Linked DNA regions of Xenopus tropicalis. The protein of the gene in region 2 interacts with the protein of the main gene of each other region in a biochemical or structural test. Links are inferred from orthologs where the notes say so. Each region holds a gene or a part of one and is shown on either strand. Other genes may lie near its edges.

The links.
Region 1: the proteins of stat1 (region 2) and kpna1 form a complex in vitro, tested with the Homo sapiens proteins (2 studies listed by BioGRID). The link is inferred for Xenopus tropicalis from reciprocal best matches to the Homo sapiens genes STAT1 and KPNA1.
Region 3: of the proteins of stat1 (region 2) and prkcd, one has a biochemical effect on the other in vitro, tested with the Homo sapiens proteins (2 studies listed by BioGRID). The link is inferred for Xenopus tropicalis from reciprocal best matches to the Homo sapiens genes STAT1 and PRKCD.

What each region holds. Positions count from the first base shown.
Region 1 is NC_030678.2:3,397,637-3,403,203, reverse strand, and holds part of kpna1 (importin subunit alpha-5), read right to left. Parts: intron 5,006-5,567; coding exon 4,917-5,005; intron 4,663-4,916; coding exon 4,563-4,662; intron 3,846-4,562; coding exon 3,682-3,845; intron 3,068-3,681; coding exon 2,989-3,067; intron 2,498-2,988; coding exon 2,372-2,497; intron 1,942-2,371; coding exon 1,814-1,941; intron 1,057-1,813; coding exon 878-1,056; intron 1-877. UniProt on the Homo sapiens protein: Functions in nuclear protein import as an adapter protein for nuclear receptor KPNB1. Binds specifically and directly to substrates containing either a simple or bipartite NLS motif.
Region 2 is NC_030685.2:43,531,146-43,537,323, forward strand, and holds the start of stat1 (signal transducer and activator of transcription 1-alpha/beta), read right to left. Parts: upstream 3,661-6,178; 5' UTR 3,517-3,660; intron 1-3,516. UniProt on the Homo sapiens protein: Signal transducer and transcription activator that mediates cellular responses to interferons (IFNs), cytokine KITLG/SCF and other cytokines and other growth factors.
Region 3 is NC_030680.2:123,767,353-123,772,919, reverse strand, and holds part of prkcd (protein kinase C delta type), read right to left. Parts: intron 4,732-5,567; coding exon 4,646-4,731; intron 4,541-4,645; coding exon 4,411-4,540; intron 3,709-4,410; coding exon 3,608-3,708; intron 3,303-3,607; coding exon 3,203-3,302; intron 1,792-3,202; coding exon 1,670-1,791; intron 1,588-1,669; coding exon 1,414-1,587; intron 119-1,413; coding exon 27-118; intron 1-26.

The sequences.
Region 1 (5,567 bases), on a different chromosome or scaffold from region 2:
GCTACAGAAACCCTACTATAGTTTATATAAATACCCCGCTGTGTAGCCCCGGGGGCAGCCGTTCCTGCACCGGTACAGCTGGGGTGTTTGCTACAGAAACCCTACTATAGTTTATATAAATACCCCGCTGTGTAGCCCCGGGAGCAGCCGTTCCTGCACCGGTACAGCTGGGGTGTTTGCTATAGAAACCCTACTATAGTTTATATAAATACCCCGCTGTGTAGCCCCGGGGCAGCCGTTCCTGCACTGGTACAGCTGGGGTGTTTGCTACAGAAACCCTACTATAGTTTATATAAATACCCCGCTGTGTAGCCCCGGGGGCAGCCGTTCCTGCACTGGTACAGCTGGGGTGTTTGCTACAGAAACCCTACTATAGTTTATATAAATACCCCGCTGTGTAGCCCCGGGAGCAGCCGTTCCTGCACTGGTACAGCTGGGGTGTTTGCTACAGAAACCCTACTATAGTTTATATAAATACCCCGCTGTGTAGCCCCGGGGGCAGCCATTCCTGCACTGGTACAGCTGGGGTGTTTGCTACAGAAACCCTACTATAGTTTATATAAATACCCAGCTGTGTAGCCCCAGGGGCAGCCATTCCTGCAACGGTACAGCTGGGGTGTTTGCTACAGAAACCCTACTATAGTTTATATAAATACCCCGCTGTGTAGCCCCGGGGGCAGCCATTCCTGCACTGGTACAGCTGGGGTGTTTGCTACAGAAACCCTACTATAGTTTATATAAATACCCCGCTGTGTAGCCCCAGGGGCAGCCATTCCTGCAACGGTACAGCTGGGGTGTTTGCTACAGAAACCCTACTATAGTTTATATAAATACCCCGCTGTGTAGCCCCGGGGGCAGCCCACATGCTGGCACTCACCATATGCTTCTTCAATAAGAGCGCAGTAAGGGTTAATGCCTGTCCCGTTCCGCTTTGCCTCTTGCTCGCCCAGCCTCAGTATGTTTTCTAAGCCATTCAGGGCCACCTGTACGATCTTGGAATCCATGCAAGTCAGGAGGTCACAAAGAGGTTTGATGCAACCTAAATCAACCAGGTACCTAGGGTATAGAAGACAGTCAAGGGTTAAGCGATGTTTATACAGAGACAAACAGGACACCTCTCAGGCCCTAATGATCCACCTCTGTCATTTGCTGCCACTTAAAGTAGTTGTATCAGCTATAATCAAACATGTGACCTGTGCTCTGATATACTTCAGTCACACTTTACAGCTGCGCTGCAAGTTGGAGCGATATCCCCCCCCTCACCCCCAGCAGCCGATCAGCAGAACAATGGGAAGGGAGCAAGATAGCAGCTCCCAGTAGGTATCAGAATAGCACTCAATAGTAAGAAATCCAAGTCCGGCTTGGGACTCCTCCAGTTACATGGGAGTAGGAGAAACAATAGGTTAGCTGAAAACAGTTCTAATGTGTAGCGCTGGCTGAAAGCTCAGACTCAGGCACAAGGCACTGAGATGGCGCCTACACACCAATATTACAGCTACAAATACATTTGTTGGTTGAAGAATAAAAGGGTTAAATGGCAGAGAGAATTATTTGCTGTGTCATTTAGAGATAAACAGTCCCCCATAAATATCATGATTTGCATTAGTATTTCAGCCAAACATTTCATTTTCAAGGGCACAGCACTGGGTGGTCAACTGTGTAGCAGAGGCTTAGAGACCCTGGTAGAGAAATCAAACTGCACTATATACTATACGGCTCACTGATATCCTCTCGTATCAAGGCTAAGGCTCTGTGTGTCCTGGTACTTACACTTTAATGTGACCAATTGCAAACAAAGGCTGACAGGACATACCTGATCTGTTCTGCGGAGCCCCCGGATGTTGCGTTTGTGATAGCCCACGCAGCCTCTTTTCTTGTCCTGAATTCTGCCGTCTGCAGAATGTTTATCAGAGCTGGAAAGATGTTGGCCTCAATCACTGTCTGAGCAACGCAGAACAAGAGAGAGCTCAGGCAAAATCTGCTGCATCTGCTCAACTACTTATTACTGGCAAATGGGATGTAATGGGATAAAGGGATCGATCACCTTAAAATTAACTTTTGGTACGATGGAGACAACAGAAGTCATTTTGCTTTTGTTTTTTTTAACTTTTTTTTTCAAATTTTTTAATTACTATGGCTTAACTACCCTAGCAACCAGGCAGAAAATTGTACAAACCTGCGTTTTGTACAATGTTATCGGTGCGTGTATGGCCAGCTTAAGTACGGATGCACCAAATCCATACATTTTGGATGTGGTGAAAAGCCATAGAGAGCAGTTACAAATGTTACCAGAATTCGGTATAACTATGGGCTTCGCGCAACACGGGGCGGCCATTTTACCTTTACGTTTGCAAATAAGAGGCTGAATTACCTGTATCTGAACTCTGTTCCCGGCTGTGATGTTTGATATCGTCCAACATGCCTCCTTCTTTATAGATTCCTTGGGGCTACTCAACAGATGCAGCAAACTCTGTAGGGCCGAGCAGTTTAGAATCACCTATGGGGTAAAAAAAAAAAAAAAAATTACATTAGACTTTCACAAATTACACTATTAAAAGGGGTGGTTCCTATTCTAGTTATAGAACTGCCAATTCTAAGCAACTTATCACTTGGTCTCCATTATTTATTATTTAAGGTTTTTTTAATTATTCCCCTTCTTCTGCTGACATTTTGCAGCTTTCAAATGGGGGTCACTGACCCCAGCAGCCTACAACTACTGCTCTGTGAGGCTCCAGTTTTATTGTTATTATTACCTATTATTACTTGTTTTTCTGTTCAGGTTATCTCCTATTCATATACCAGTCTGTTATTCAAACCACTGCCTGGTTGCTAAGGTAATCTGGATCCTAGCAACCATATAACTGCTAAAATTATAAACTATAGAGCTGCTGAACAAAATATAAAAGAACTAAAATTGTATTGCTTATCGGCTACGGTACAGAATCAGCATCAGCTAATCAAGACACAATTCCTTACACTAACACTTACTTGTGTCTGGATGTCATCCCCAGTCACTATGTTGCCAACAGCCCGCAGGGCAGGAGACACCACTTTGTAATCATTGTGCCTGAAAAATTCCAAAAAAAAAAAGAAAATAAATAAAAAGAACTTTCTTAAAGAGAAATATCAAACTCCTTCAACCTAGAATCCCCTGGGGCAGCAGATTAAAGGTGGCCATACGCGGTAAAGGAGCGGATCTTCTCCCAATATCCCCACCTATGTGTGGGCGATATAGGGCTAATTCACTCATTTGGCCCTGGGGCCAGACGATGGAATCAGAATGGCGGGAATAGTCGCTGCCAGTTCAGGGACCGTATCAAAGAGACGATGCAGCCCCCCAATGCGACGGAAAAGTCAACCTGCCCGATTAAGATCTGCCCAATTTTAGGCCAGATGTCAGTTGGGCAGGCCTGTCGTTCGTGCCCATACACGGGCAGATAAGCTGCTGAATCGATCTAAAGGATCTATGGGCACCTTAAAACTGCTGTCTGGACTCAGTGCCACCCAATTAGACAGCTTGTCTAAACTGCCCAATTGAGATTAATACATGGAGTTGGTTTAGGTATTATTTGACTGTTTATATGTATCCAAAGCAGTTTATCCAGCCATGTCCCAAAAACAAAATAAAGGAAGATACTAAAGTTCTGCATTTCATGAAGTCAAGTACAAACAGTGGCTCACATTAGTAGTTCCACTAATCTTCTACACACGCCTGCATCGATCACGGCCTGGATCTTATCGTTCGGCCCATCTGACAGATAGGACAGCGCCCAGCAGGCATCGGCAAGTACATCAGTGTCGTTGACAAAGAGAAGCCAGGACAGGACAGTGAGGCATGGGGAAACCTGGGGAGGAAGACAATATGGCATCTTCAGCAAATAACTCACCTAAAGTGTTATGATACCAGTGTGATAATGATGCAGAAGCAGCAGCCGCCAGTAATACCACTGGCCAATAAAGGACAAGAGATAAAAAGCAAGTGATGGTATTTTGTCCATTTGATAGACATATGCTGGCCCCCTGACTTCCATCAGCCCCTAAGGTGGAAGTGCAGGAGGGCCACCTATGGGTAAGTGGAAGGAGAGGAGCTCTACGTATTTTGGTTCTGCTTCCAGTGTCAATAAACACAAGATGCCAGTGCTAATGGGGCCCCTGGGAATAGGCATATGATATGCAAGGGAAGATTACTGACCAGTTAAAAGATGGGAAAAGAAAGTTGCTGATGCTGCCAAGCAAATGAAAGGCCTATATATTAGTTATGTGCAGGCCGGCCCGATACCCACGGGTTGGGTGGGTTCAAGCAGACCTTGGCACATCAACTGTGGGTGTATTCGGATTGAGCTCTTTCGCTCTCCAGGGCTTCTGGCCAATGAAATAACTGCATACATTGAAACTGCTGGTCAAAAAATAGACTGGATATAACAAGGTTACTAAAGAGAAGGCTGGTTACAAAAAGCATGAACTGATGCTGTGGGTACAATAACCATGTGTTTATCTGCCCAGTGCCAGCACGCTAAAGCCCATTTAGCAATAACACTGAAATCCAACTGCCTCACTGTTACCTTGGCGAATTCAGGGGGTGGATTCTTCCCTCTACAAAGGTTAGACAGTGCCCACACTGCATTTCGAGTCATTGTAAGACGGTTCTGCTTGGACAGTAATCTGAAAAATAATACAAGAATATAACGGAGTAAATATGGACTCCATGTTGACAGTAATAACCACATCCCAAGTCCATGAGCTCTAAACATTCAATATGTATTTCCCACCCAATGTAACCCTAACCTCTGCTCAGCACCCTGCCCCTATAGTCAATTCTAAACATCTTTTCTACTATATCTTCATACATAACAAGTACAGCTACTTAAAAACACAGGGAAAAAATCATAAAACACCCCAAAGTTCTAGGTACTAACTGTAAAAGCGGAGGCAGAATATTGCAGTCCAACACATAATCCCGACACACGGTGCTGTCTCCGGCAATGTTCCCTAGAGCCCAGACTGCCTGTTAGGGAAGAGAAGAAAATGACATTCGTGGTTTAAACCAAGGAATCAAGTCAGTATGTGATTAGCAATTTGTAGCATTGTTTGTTTCTTTTTTGTGGGGGTTAGTCAGTAATGTAAAAAGGTTGGTTTCAGGCACCCAGTGGTTGGAATGTGTTTGAAGTACATTGCACCAAGGTCCCCAGACTTTGTCAGATTTGTTAGTTGCCCTCTGATATCCTATCTGTAAGTTCTAATGGAGGGGAGGGATGTACCCATCCAATGCACGGCAATTGTTTTTTGTTTTTTTTTTGCATGAAGGGGGAGTACACAGTTGCGCAAACACACGTGGGCTCGCGGTATCCCAAGGAGACAAATATGGGTGCCAATATTCTAGGTAATTCTAGGTTTTAGGCCAGGAAGTCGAATATTTGGGTCCAAAAAGAGTGAATGTGGGGACATTTCGAAATCATGTGGAAAAATTAAGCCCCCGCATCTAGAGCAACTGTCGTCAGAAGAGCGCCCCATTTATATAAATCTGGCAGGGGTTATCTATAGGTTTGTATTGCACTAATTTGTCTCTA
Region 2 (6,178 bases):
ACTAAGAGATATGACCCACGGCCTAGGGCAAAGCTTAAGTGGGAGACCTCTGGGATACATCTAAATCCCGATGACTGGGAAGAAATCACGGACAATTTATACCAGCCCCTAATAAGCAAAAGAGACAGACTTATACAATTTAAAATTATACATCAGACTTACCTCACCCCACAAAAGCTACACAATATGGGGAAAACTGACTCCTCTAACTGCCAAAGATGCAAAGCATATGGTCAACTTCATGCACCTAATATGGGACTGCCCTGAAATACAAAAATTCTGGGGCAAGGTCACAGAATTTATGGGAACAGAACTGGAACTCAACCAGTACTCAACCCGGCTACCTGTATACTGGGCCTCCTGGACACTCCGATACCTAGAAGGAATACAAAGCTACTACTACTATGAGACTACTACTTTTTTATGCCAAAAGAACCATCGCTCTGAGCTGGATGGGCCGGACACCCCCATCGCTCCGCAATTAAAACTGTATAAACTTACCTACCTCGTTAGAGGTTGTCCGGCGAAATTTGAGAACATTTGGTCTCCTTGGACAGACTCACCAGCCACAACAGTACAATGACTGTTTACTCTCCAATCTCTTCCTTTCCTTTCTTCCCTCTCCTTTTCTACCCTATTCTATTGTTGTTAAAAAAACAATAAAAATCAACCTTTAAAAAAAAAAAAAAAAGAAAGAAGAGAGGGCTGATCTGATGTTCTTCCTGTTAGGAAAAACATGGCAGCAGCCTGCATGAAACTTATAGTTTTGCACAATTTAGTATCATAATAAAATATATAATACGTAGTATAGTAGTAATACACACCTCCAGGTTATTATTAAACAAGTTAAAAAGCAAAGACCAAAGACAGACCCCTGCGGTACTCCACTAACAACACTGGTCCAATTGGAAAATGTTCAATTTAACAGCACTCTCTGCAATCTATCCTTCAGTCAGTTCTCTATCCAATTACAGGTATGGAATCCCTTATCCGGAAACCAGTTATCCAGAAAGCTCCGAATTACAGAAAGCCCGTCTCCCATACCCTCCATTTTAATTACCTAATTTTACCTAAGAAAACTGGAAAAACTTATTGACTCGAGTATAAGCCTAGGTAGGCCCTGGACACCCTGGACACTCATTGGTGAACCAACCCTAGTAACTCTGGGGTAGGCACCCTGGATATTTACCGCTAAAAAGTCAACAATACATTCCACCATCTTGTTCTGCCCCCTAGAAGCCTGCGCCATGGCGTATAATATAAAGGTTCCGTTTCCAGCTTCAAGAACTCCATTAGCAAAGGGAAAAGTCGTGTCTCTTCCTTATATTTTATTGTCAGTAGCCACCGGCAAACAAGCTAGTATAGGCCACCAGTAGCAGGTAGGTAGGCAGGCCTGGACTGGGATTCGAAATAGGCCCTGGCATTTCAAGTACACAGGGGCCCAAAAAGCCCCCCAGCCCAATAAATAGTGACTGTCTGTGGCATCTTACATCAGCCCCTCTGGCATTTGCCAGAACCCAGAGATTGCCAGTCCAGGCCTGTAAGTATACAATACCTGCCTAGGGACCCACTGACTGAGCTTTCCATATCTGCACAAGGTTGTTTCCCATAATTCCCATGCACTCCCATAGTGCAATGCGTACCGGCCAAGGCCCAACCAGAACATTCAGAACACTCTCTGTAGGGCACAACAGTGATCCGAGGGGGTCAGCTGACATCCAGATAAATAAACGGCTCATGTACAGAATCTGTATATAGTGATGCACTCATTGTAATATTATTGTACAAAGAACTACAATTCCCAACATGCTCCAAATGACCACAATGGTGATTTATCCTTTTGACTTTACTTAGCTAGCAGCCATAGAGCAGGTGGTAGTGATATAGGGTAATGTATAATTTAATAAATCTGGGATTTGTAGTTCCCAGATTGCCTTCTTATCTGTGCCCCCTTCCTTTGTTTCTCTCCTTATCACCCAACACCCTTTCTGCGTACGCATTTGTACATGCCCAAAATATTGTTGTGTGCACATGCATGCGTGCGTTGGTTCGTGCACGCACGCCCGTCCAGCCCTCTGTCCAGCCGCGGGGAGGGAAGAGGGGTGCCCCGTAAAACAAACTTGTTCAGCCTCGAATCCTTATACTCGAGTATAAGCCGAGGGTTCGTTTTTCAGCACATACAGGTCCATGTTAATCTAGGAAAGTCCTGCCCAGTTTACCAAATTAGGAAAACCGGGCAGAGAGTTTTGGCCCAGACAGCCCTTCTGGAAACCGTGTTCTCTGGGGAAACCCGACTATTCAATGTATTTTTACAGTGCAACTGCTTCACATACACCAATAACAGTTTATACAACAAGCTAAGAACAGATGCATAAATTACAATAGGTTTGGTTCTTACACGTGTCAAATGAAATCATAAAATAGGGCAATCATTGCCAGTAAATAGAATATTCGTAGGTAATAAATGAACAGCTATAAACTTTAAATTGTAAAATAATATATATTCTTAATTTATGAGGAGCAGTATCTCTAATACAGGGAGTGGAACGGTCTATTTGCACTAGAAGAGCTGAATTTAAAAATTAATTGTTAGGGGCCTTCTTTTGCCACCCCTGGTAAACTGTTGCACACTCCCGTCTTATGGCAGGAATGGTCATGCTGGCATCATTTTTGATAGCGATATTTTATTCTGTAAGTGAACATGACATGATTTAGTTATTAATTGGATATGACAACTGAAGGAGAGGGTAAAATCAAAGACAACCCTAAGGCAATAGGCCATTAGAGCGCTTGTTATTTCTAGGGTGTTCTAAAGTTTGCACTGGGAAAAAGGGTTATTCTGTCTTATATTCAAATAGAAATGTCTGTCAAAAAACTCAGAGATCAGAGTTGAGACTGAAAAATACAGGATAAATTTGTCACCCAGTGGTATTGGAATACATTCAAGTTAATTAAACCCACAGACATGTTGTGTAGATTTTTTTTTTTAGATGAATTGTGCAAATAAAATTTGCTTGGCTAAGTAGTGGCAAATATTAAACAATAGCAGTGCAGATTTGCAGCTCAACTTAACAGTACATGACAGCCTTTAGAGTGCTCACAAACCAATGTAAATTAAAATAGGGGTTTCCAAAAAACAAAAGTCACTGTGGTAAGTGATACACCAGCTGTACACAAGGATTCACAAATGGGCAGGATTACTCAGCATAAAGCAGATTAAACATGGGCTGTGCACACTGGAGTTTATAACCAAGTAGACCAAATACAGAATGATCCAGTCGGCTTATTAATCAAAACTGGGCAAATGTTAGCAGAGGCAGAATGATGCACACAATTACGAAAATTATATAATATATGCTGCAGTATAGTGATGAGTATATAATAGACCAAAAGAGCAATGGGGTTGCCCAGACAGGCACAGTTATAAAAACAGAATCATTAGCAGAAGCGTTTATACCGATGATGTCCTAAAATGGGCGCCGTACAGTGGAGTAAAATGTCTCTCTTTCAACGTACCTGACGCCGTCCTGTATAATAAGCTCAAGAAAGCAAAATAAAACGTCTTGAAATTTACTTTGATTCCGGATACCTCTAGAATCACCAACTCACACACACAAAACCGAAAGAAGAAATGAGGGTACAGCCCTTACTTCCTAGACTGCAAGCTATCCCCGCCTCTAAATCTTGACTTCAGCAAATCATAAAATTGTTTGCTGGCTGTTACTTTAAGTTGGATTGCCTCCCTCTGCTTTGATGCGGACACTTCTTAAAGGGCACCGAAACGATTAATTTGTGCACATTTAATCTTGCTGTAGCAAACAGGCTACTTTTTACAGTTTACTTTTTCAGAACTTTTCTTCTTATATGTATTATATGTAACACTATTTTGTCTTAGATTAGGCCAACCCAGGCTTGTAGTGTAATATAGAGCATGTGTTACATGTGACCCTTAATTCTTCGGCATGGGCCTCTGCTATGTGGGAGATGTAAGATAGGAGCTGAGGGTGTAGTTGAACTACAACTTTCTGATGCTGTGTAGTGTAGATGGTATAAATGGACGCAGAAAGGTTCTTGCTGGTGAACTATAATACAGATTTATTGGTCAAAGACACAGATGTTATGCAGGGTTATCATACTCACAGACATGCAGATTGAAATGGTACAATGAGGGATTTCTCTTTTGTAGAAGAGAGAGTGTACACCGGTTTACCCCACCTCTTGGTAGAGTCTGGGCCGGGATATACACCTTTCAACCAGTACCCCTTGAGAGATAGTGCAAGTAGTAGGAACTCCTTCAGGTTGATAACCTCTAGTGGATTGAGTCCTCCTAGAGCCCTGCACTGAGACAACATTGCCGGATAGGAGAAATACTCCTGGATCTAATCATTCCTTTGGTAGGCTAATGGCCCTTTCTAGCTAGAGCTGACTATGCTCACTTCTACTAGAGAGTGCTATTAAATAAATCTGCTGTGCTTACTTATCCTCATTCACAGGGCCCTGTCCCTGACTTATACAATTAGTAAGGTGTTCTTTGGACTAAGGTGGCTTACTGGGGCCTGTTGCAGCACCCAGGCTCAGAAGGAGCTGTGCTTAGGTAGCAGACAGGCAGCCAAAGAGGAAGCCACTCCTCCCTGCTAGACGCTATTTCAGTCTGCAGGGGGAGTGGTCAACCTGACTAAATCTATAGGGAATAGTGTTAGAACAGTAACTTAAGTACAGGGGCTCTGCCCAATAACAATAGAGGTGTGAAGAGGTAGAGGATAAAGCCATAGGGAGCTTAACCCTATGGGTCCCTACATATATATATGTATATGATATTTATACATTTACTTATTTTGATCTACTCAATAAATGTACATCATAAAAAGAGCTGTATTTACCATATAGGTATCAATATATGCCCCAAAATAAAAAATATTGCAGTCATTATAACTACTGCAAAATCAAGACATTTACTGACTTTTATGTGTGGTGAAAAAATATTCTCACATAAAAGTCTCAAAAGACATTCTCACTAGGTGCAAAAATCATTCTCCCAAATCTAAAATGAATTCTATATCTTTTTACTCCAAACATTAAAGCTTTGATAACATTTTTAAAAACCACCTTCCATTTTGCAGTAACTTATCAGTCACATATCCTTATGCTGCTGGCACACGGGAAGATTAGATAAATCTTTACTACCACGGGCGATGGCACATGCATTACCTCATGAGGAAACTATGGGCGACTTTGGAAAACCGAAGCTATGTGTATGCCATGCCACCAGCAATTCACATTCTTGCTGACAGGAAGACACTTTGGGGGAGATTAGGCACCTGCGGTAGCGAAGATTTATTGCATGCATCTAATCTCCCCGTTTGCCACCAGCCTTGTATACTAGGGGGCACATTTACTAATACACAAACGGGCCGAAAGCGTCCGAATGCGATTTTTCGTAATGATCTGATCTTTGATTTTTTTCAACGTCGTTGTGACTTTTTTCGCGAATTATCGCAACATTTTCGTCACCGTCACGATTTTTTCGTGAATTGTCGCAACTTTTTTGTCGCCGTCGCGCCGCTCAATATGAAAAAGTCGTGACAATTCGCGAAAGTCGTAATGGCTACAAAAAAGTCGCGACAATTCACAAAAAAAGTTGCGACGGCGACGAAAAAAATCGCAAAAAGTACGAAAAAGTGGCAAAATGTTCGTTTCCAATCCATTTTTTTCCCATTCGGATTCGTGCATTAGTAAATCTGCCCCTAAGATTAGACATATTAATATGAATACCAGGGGTCTTTTATGTGTCATATATGCCCCCTAGTATGCAGACCCCTGTAAACCATATTTCTCCTACAGTTCCTTATGTACAAAGATCATAAATATGAGTTTGTTGCCCAATATGCATATATTTACCTAAGTATGTGGTATGTACAGACCCCATAATATATGGCTGACTGTGGCTTCTGCAAAATATTCACCCTGTTTGTTAATTATGTATCATTAGTAGAGATGATTCATGTATGTTGAATGTATATACCCATTTATTGTACAGCACAACGGAATATGTTGGCACTTATAATGTTTGAGGGGCTTTATATATGTTATAATAATAATGTTTTTGGGGGGGGGTGGGCATTAGCAGTAATATATAGGTGCTTGCAGATGACACAAAACTGTGCAGGTCAATAAATTC
Region 3 (5,567 bases), on a different chromosome or scaffold from region 2:
TACTGAACCAAAACCAGCCAACTTACGTAGCTCTGTACAGGTCGAAGCGCCCCTTGTCCTGTATGTGGAACATGAGATCCCCTCCGTTCAGAAACTCCATGACAAAGAAGAGATGCTCCTGTCACCAAGCCAAGAAGGAGAAAGTCTTGTGAGACAGGACAATCACAGTCCATCATGTTTAGCTCTTTAAGGACCATGGCTCACAGGAAAATTTGTTGCCTGCGGTTAAATCTTGGCTGGCGGGGGCGACTAATCTACCCATAATGCCTTCCTGCCAGCAATAAAGGGAATCAGCATTGGGAAGGCATAGGTGTTGTTTTGTTTTCCAAAGTCCCGCAAACTTTCCTCTTGCTGCAGGATGAGCCAAGATTAACCGCAGCCAACTAATCTCCCTGTGGGCCACAGCCCTTAAACCACTCTACAAAGAATATTCAGAGCAAAACAAACAACCCCAAATGAGGCAACTGTCAGATCTTGTAGGGAAACATTCTTTCCTGACCCAAATGGCAGATTGCTCAGTTTTAACATTTGAGCCCAGTTTAAATAACAAAGAAGGAAGTGCAAACTATACAGGAAACACAGCACAATGCTAAGTCTTATTCATAATGGCCTGAAATTGATGTTATTTGCAGGAAAGAGAATCTCACTATTTCCCATAGCGCTGCAGCATTTTTAACTCTAATTTTAGGTCGTTGGTCTCTATTTCCTTATTTGAAGAAAAAAAGGGGGTTGTGGGAGCGCTCCAGGGCTAATTATGGTAAAAGTAACGTATAATAGACATGTGACCGGCCTGGCTGAATTTGCTTCACTGTACATAGGAGAACTGACCAATGCATTCCCTGGCCCCCTGTTTTGTTAGTAACTCATTCTGTACTAGTGCTTATTGTGTGGTTACATTTTATATTCTAGTTTATACTGTGTGGTTTCTTGTTTCAGCACACCTCCATCTCAGTGCATTGTGCCTGAGTCTGAGCTTTCAGAAGGAGCCAGCGCTACACATTAGAACTGCTTTCAGCTAACCTATTGTTTCTCCTACTCCTATGTAACTGGGGGAGTCCCAAGTCAGACTTGGATTTCTTACTATTGAGTGCAATTCTGATATCTACTGGGAGCTGCTATCTTGCTCCCTTCCCATTGCTCTGCTGATCAGCTGCTGGGGGGGGGGGGGGGATCGCTCCAACTTGCAGCTCAACAGTAAAGTGTGACTGAAGTTTATCACAAGTCACATGACTGTAGCACCCTGGGAAATGAAGAATATGGCTAGCCCCATGTGAAATTACAAAATGAAATATAAAAAAATCTGTTTGTGTTTTTCAAAAACAGATTACAATGCAGGATTCTGCTGGAGAAGCTCTATTAACTGATGTGTTTTGAAATGTATGCAAAAGGCACCATTTCTGCTCAGGCTGGTACCTTGGTCTGGAAGGAGCAGTAGATGTGGGTGAGGAAAGGATTTTCCCAGGCCAATGCTAGCACTCGCTTTTCCACCATGGTGCACTCAACATCATCATCAATCAGCACCACATCCTTCTTCAAGGCTTTTATGGCAAAATATTCCCCCTTGCCTTTTAATTCTGCCAGCAGCACCTGCAAGAGGAGAGAGGTAAGGCTGCATGCAGGCTATAGAAGAGAAGAATGAGGCAGGGCTGAAGAGGCCGGGGTTACCTACCTTACCAAAGCTGCCTTTACCGAGCACCTTGTGAAAGACGAAATTATCAATCTTCAAACGGCTGCTCAGGCTGATGTGAGGATGCGGGCTGCTTCCCTCCCAAAGTCTATCATACTGGTTATCTACAGGGAGAAACGGGTTTTAGTAAGACGCAGCTAAAGGATATTCTCAACTGACGACTACTTAATTGCTGCAGGGCCGGAAGCTCAAGAGCTAATTCCATGGCCAGAATGTTTCTCCAGTATTGTGTATATCAATTTCCAAAAGGCTTAAAAGGGGTAGTTCACCTTTAAACACATTTTAATATAATGGAGTCATATTGGAGTGATATAGAGTCTTATTTATTTTTTTATTTTATGAGGTTTTTGAATTAAGTTTTTGTTTAGCAGCTCTACAGTATGGAATTTCAGCAGCTATCTGGTTGCTAGGGTCCAATTACCCTAGTAACCAAGCAGCGGTATGAATGAGAGACAGGAAGATAAATAGGAGAGGCGCTGAAAAGAAACATAACTAATCGAAAGTAATACTATAAAACTGTAGCCTCACAGAGCAATTGGTTTTGGATGTCGGGCCATATAAAAGCTGGAAAGAAGTAGAATAGGAAGGCAAAGAATTCATTCAAATACTATAAATAATATAGTATATTCTATAACATACTAACAGCTAACTTGTTGTTAAATATAACATAACATTGTCTTTGAATGAACTTTATTATTTTGCCATAAAAGTACTTCCTGATGCTTTTACCTATCTGATCCCCATGTTCCCCTATGAGGGGGCGGCCATATTTGTGCAGCAGGAGTCTGTTAGCATTAGAAGCTGTAACTGACAGCCTGAGAAGGGACAGTCGGGTTGGCAAAACTGTCAGGTTTATAAACATCAAGTAACCTATCCATACATTAATATTTTGAAAAGTATTTTTTCTGTGTCAGTATCACTTTAAATGTGATCTACCTCTTTTAATGAGGAAACTTTTTACCCTTATATGTTCAGTAAATGCACAAAAACCCAATCTCTACATGTTTGCATTTATAGTTGGGATTGGATGCTGCCATACTGCTGGCTTTAGCAGAAGTTGTCTCTAACATAAATTGCTGCCATGTTCGTGTGATATCCTGTGATACTCTCATTAGTGGCACTTATATTGTAGTGTCACCCACTGTGACCTACAGCACTTATATTTGCCTATTTGTGTCTGTTAGTTACCCTCCCATATAGATTGTAAGCTCTACGGGGCAGGGACCTCCTTCCTCTTGTGTCCTCGACTCTTAACTTATTGCAGCTGTATTTATCTGTATTTATTGTTATACTTTGTATTTATCTATTATCTTATTAACACCCTGTTTGTATTAATGTATTCTACTGTACAGCGCTGCGTACATAAGTAGCGCTTTATAAATAAAGATATACATACATACATACATACATTTGCAGATATGCAGAGGAGGAAGTGCTGTGCTATACGCCATACAATACTGTGCAATACACTGACAACAAAGGGTGAGTTATACTGCAGTAATTTTCCAGTCGTACCTGTAGCATCAGGCATAGGCAATCCTGGGGTTTTAGGGTTCACACCTTGATATATGGCAATATTATCCAATCCAGAATCTGATTTTCTAGAACTAGATTTCTAGAGAAAAACCACAAAAAGATGCAATCAATACAAAGTGCATTGGTTCATTTAAAGCCGGCAGTCACATTCAGACAGAGACAGTGTTTGGATATCTCTGCTCCAGGTGAGTTACTTCCTAGAGCTCCAGCTGCCATGGCTTTGAGAAACAGAATACAGTGCCCCAATAGTGACACAAGAGAGACACCCCCATAGATTATATTTATTTAGAAAGTAGCCTCTGGCCATCAGCATTTTACTGGTGCTTCACGGGCACCTTATTCTATTCTATCCTGTTACTAAAAAGTTTGTCCCACGGTGCTTACCATACTGACTTGATTTAATGCCTCTGCTAAAAGCTTCTGGTTTATGCCACATAAGTTTGCCACTTTGTTCTGACACTTGTGATGCACATTCATGGCGCACTCTAAATAACACAAAATAAATAACGTTGGTAACAACACAAATCACAAATGTAGCAAAGAAATGAAACCATTTTTAGTGACAGAATGCCTCTGTATTTCCCAGGGCCCAACCTAATAGTCTATAGGGGTCATATAAGAACTCTGAGACAGCGTGCAAAGTGTGTCAGTTTTTTGCTTGCCTCTTAAAGAATTGCATCCATCAACACTATATTCATGAGGGACACATAGTTGTAATTTGGACGCACAAGTTAGTGAGCGGCAGGGGATGCAGGCAGTAACGACAGGGCTGTGGTTAACACCTTGAGCCAGATTTATTTTCTAAAGAGACATAAGATGCAGCCCATAGCCAGACCAAGGGAAGAGGAGCTGCTTAATAATAAGGGCCGGGCACTCTCCCCTCAGATCAACTGTAACTATTATAATAATAATAACAACTTATATACTGTAGCTACTATAATAATAAAGTGTAATAACATCAGGTCAGGGAATAACACTCCATAAAAACTTGCATGGGGATGGAGAGCAAGTTTTGCAATAAGTGAGCAAAAATTATTTCAATATACATTACTATGGTATGGGTGTCTGCTTTTGGATAACTACCCAGAACCCTTTGCTTCAACAGTAAGACATCAGCTTCATATAATTAACCCACGTGAAAAGTAAATGTTCAGCTACCAACAACCAACAGTTTGACAGGAGCTCACCATCACATTTTAACCCTTGTTTCACCAGGCCCCAGAGCAGGCTGCCACAGTGATCGCAGAATGTGGGGCTCTTGTAGTTATAAACTTTAAATCTGTGTGGCATATCAATGTTGAAGCGTTCTTTCTGGAACTGCAAAGAAGAGACAGAAGCAGATTTGGTTTTACCTTTCTGGGACCACAAGCAGATTACGAAGTGTGATTACAAACTGGGGGGGAGGAAAAAGGGGGCACTCACCATGGTGTCCCGGCTGTTGGCAGCAGTACCTGTACATCTGCCAATGATCATTTCTATGCATTTTTTATGAATAGCAGCGTTGCATTCTAGGAGAGAAGATTTTGATGTTTAGATGACAGAAGAGATTGTTTCACCTATTACGGGCAAAGGAGACACACATGATAGTATGATACATATAATAACACTGCAAAAGGGAAAAATGGGTTAAAGGAGATCTAAACCCAAAAAATTAAAGTGTGCTCCTCTGTTTTTTAGTGTTTTTCCGGATATCCTAGGTTTTAGACCACTAACACCAAACTTTTGGTCAGCAACCCTAGCATTGACTATATTGAAAGAGCATAAAAAAGACAGCTGGAACTACTGACAATCTGACCTTCAAAGATTGCTGTTGTTGAGCCTGGTATTAGCAGTATAAAACTTCTAATATCTCAGAAACTACTAAATATAGAAATTTAATGTAAACTACAAAAGGATAGCCAGACCAACGTGATGGTTGAATGTGATGGACGTATGTCTTATTTCAACCTAACTTGCTGAGTAAATTTACATCAAATTATTTTTTGGGATTTAGATCCCCTTTGGAGAGTAATGTAGACTAAACCATGCCTTCTGAAAAGCATTCATAATGCAGTACTGTTTTTTTTTAAGCATCAAATTTAACAATCGAAAAGAACATGTTACAAGAGGATGAACAACAGATGTACAAGATTTACAATTCATTTTACAATAATCTTAAATACAGAAGAAAATTAAAAATAAAATACAACAAGAAATGTAACCCTGGTGTTCTTGTGTCTCATTGATATACATAAGGCACTTTTGCCACTCCCTAGTGTACCAGTTGTAGGGATGCACCAAATCCACTTCTTTGGATTCGGCCAAACCCCGAATACTTCTTAAAGGATTCGGCCGAATACCGAAC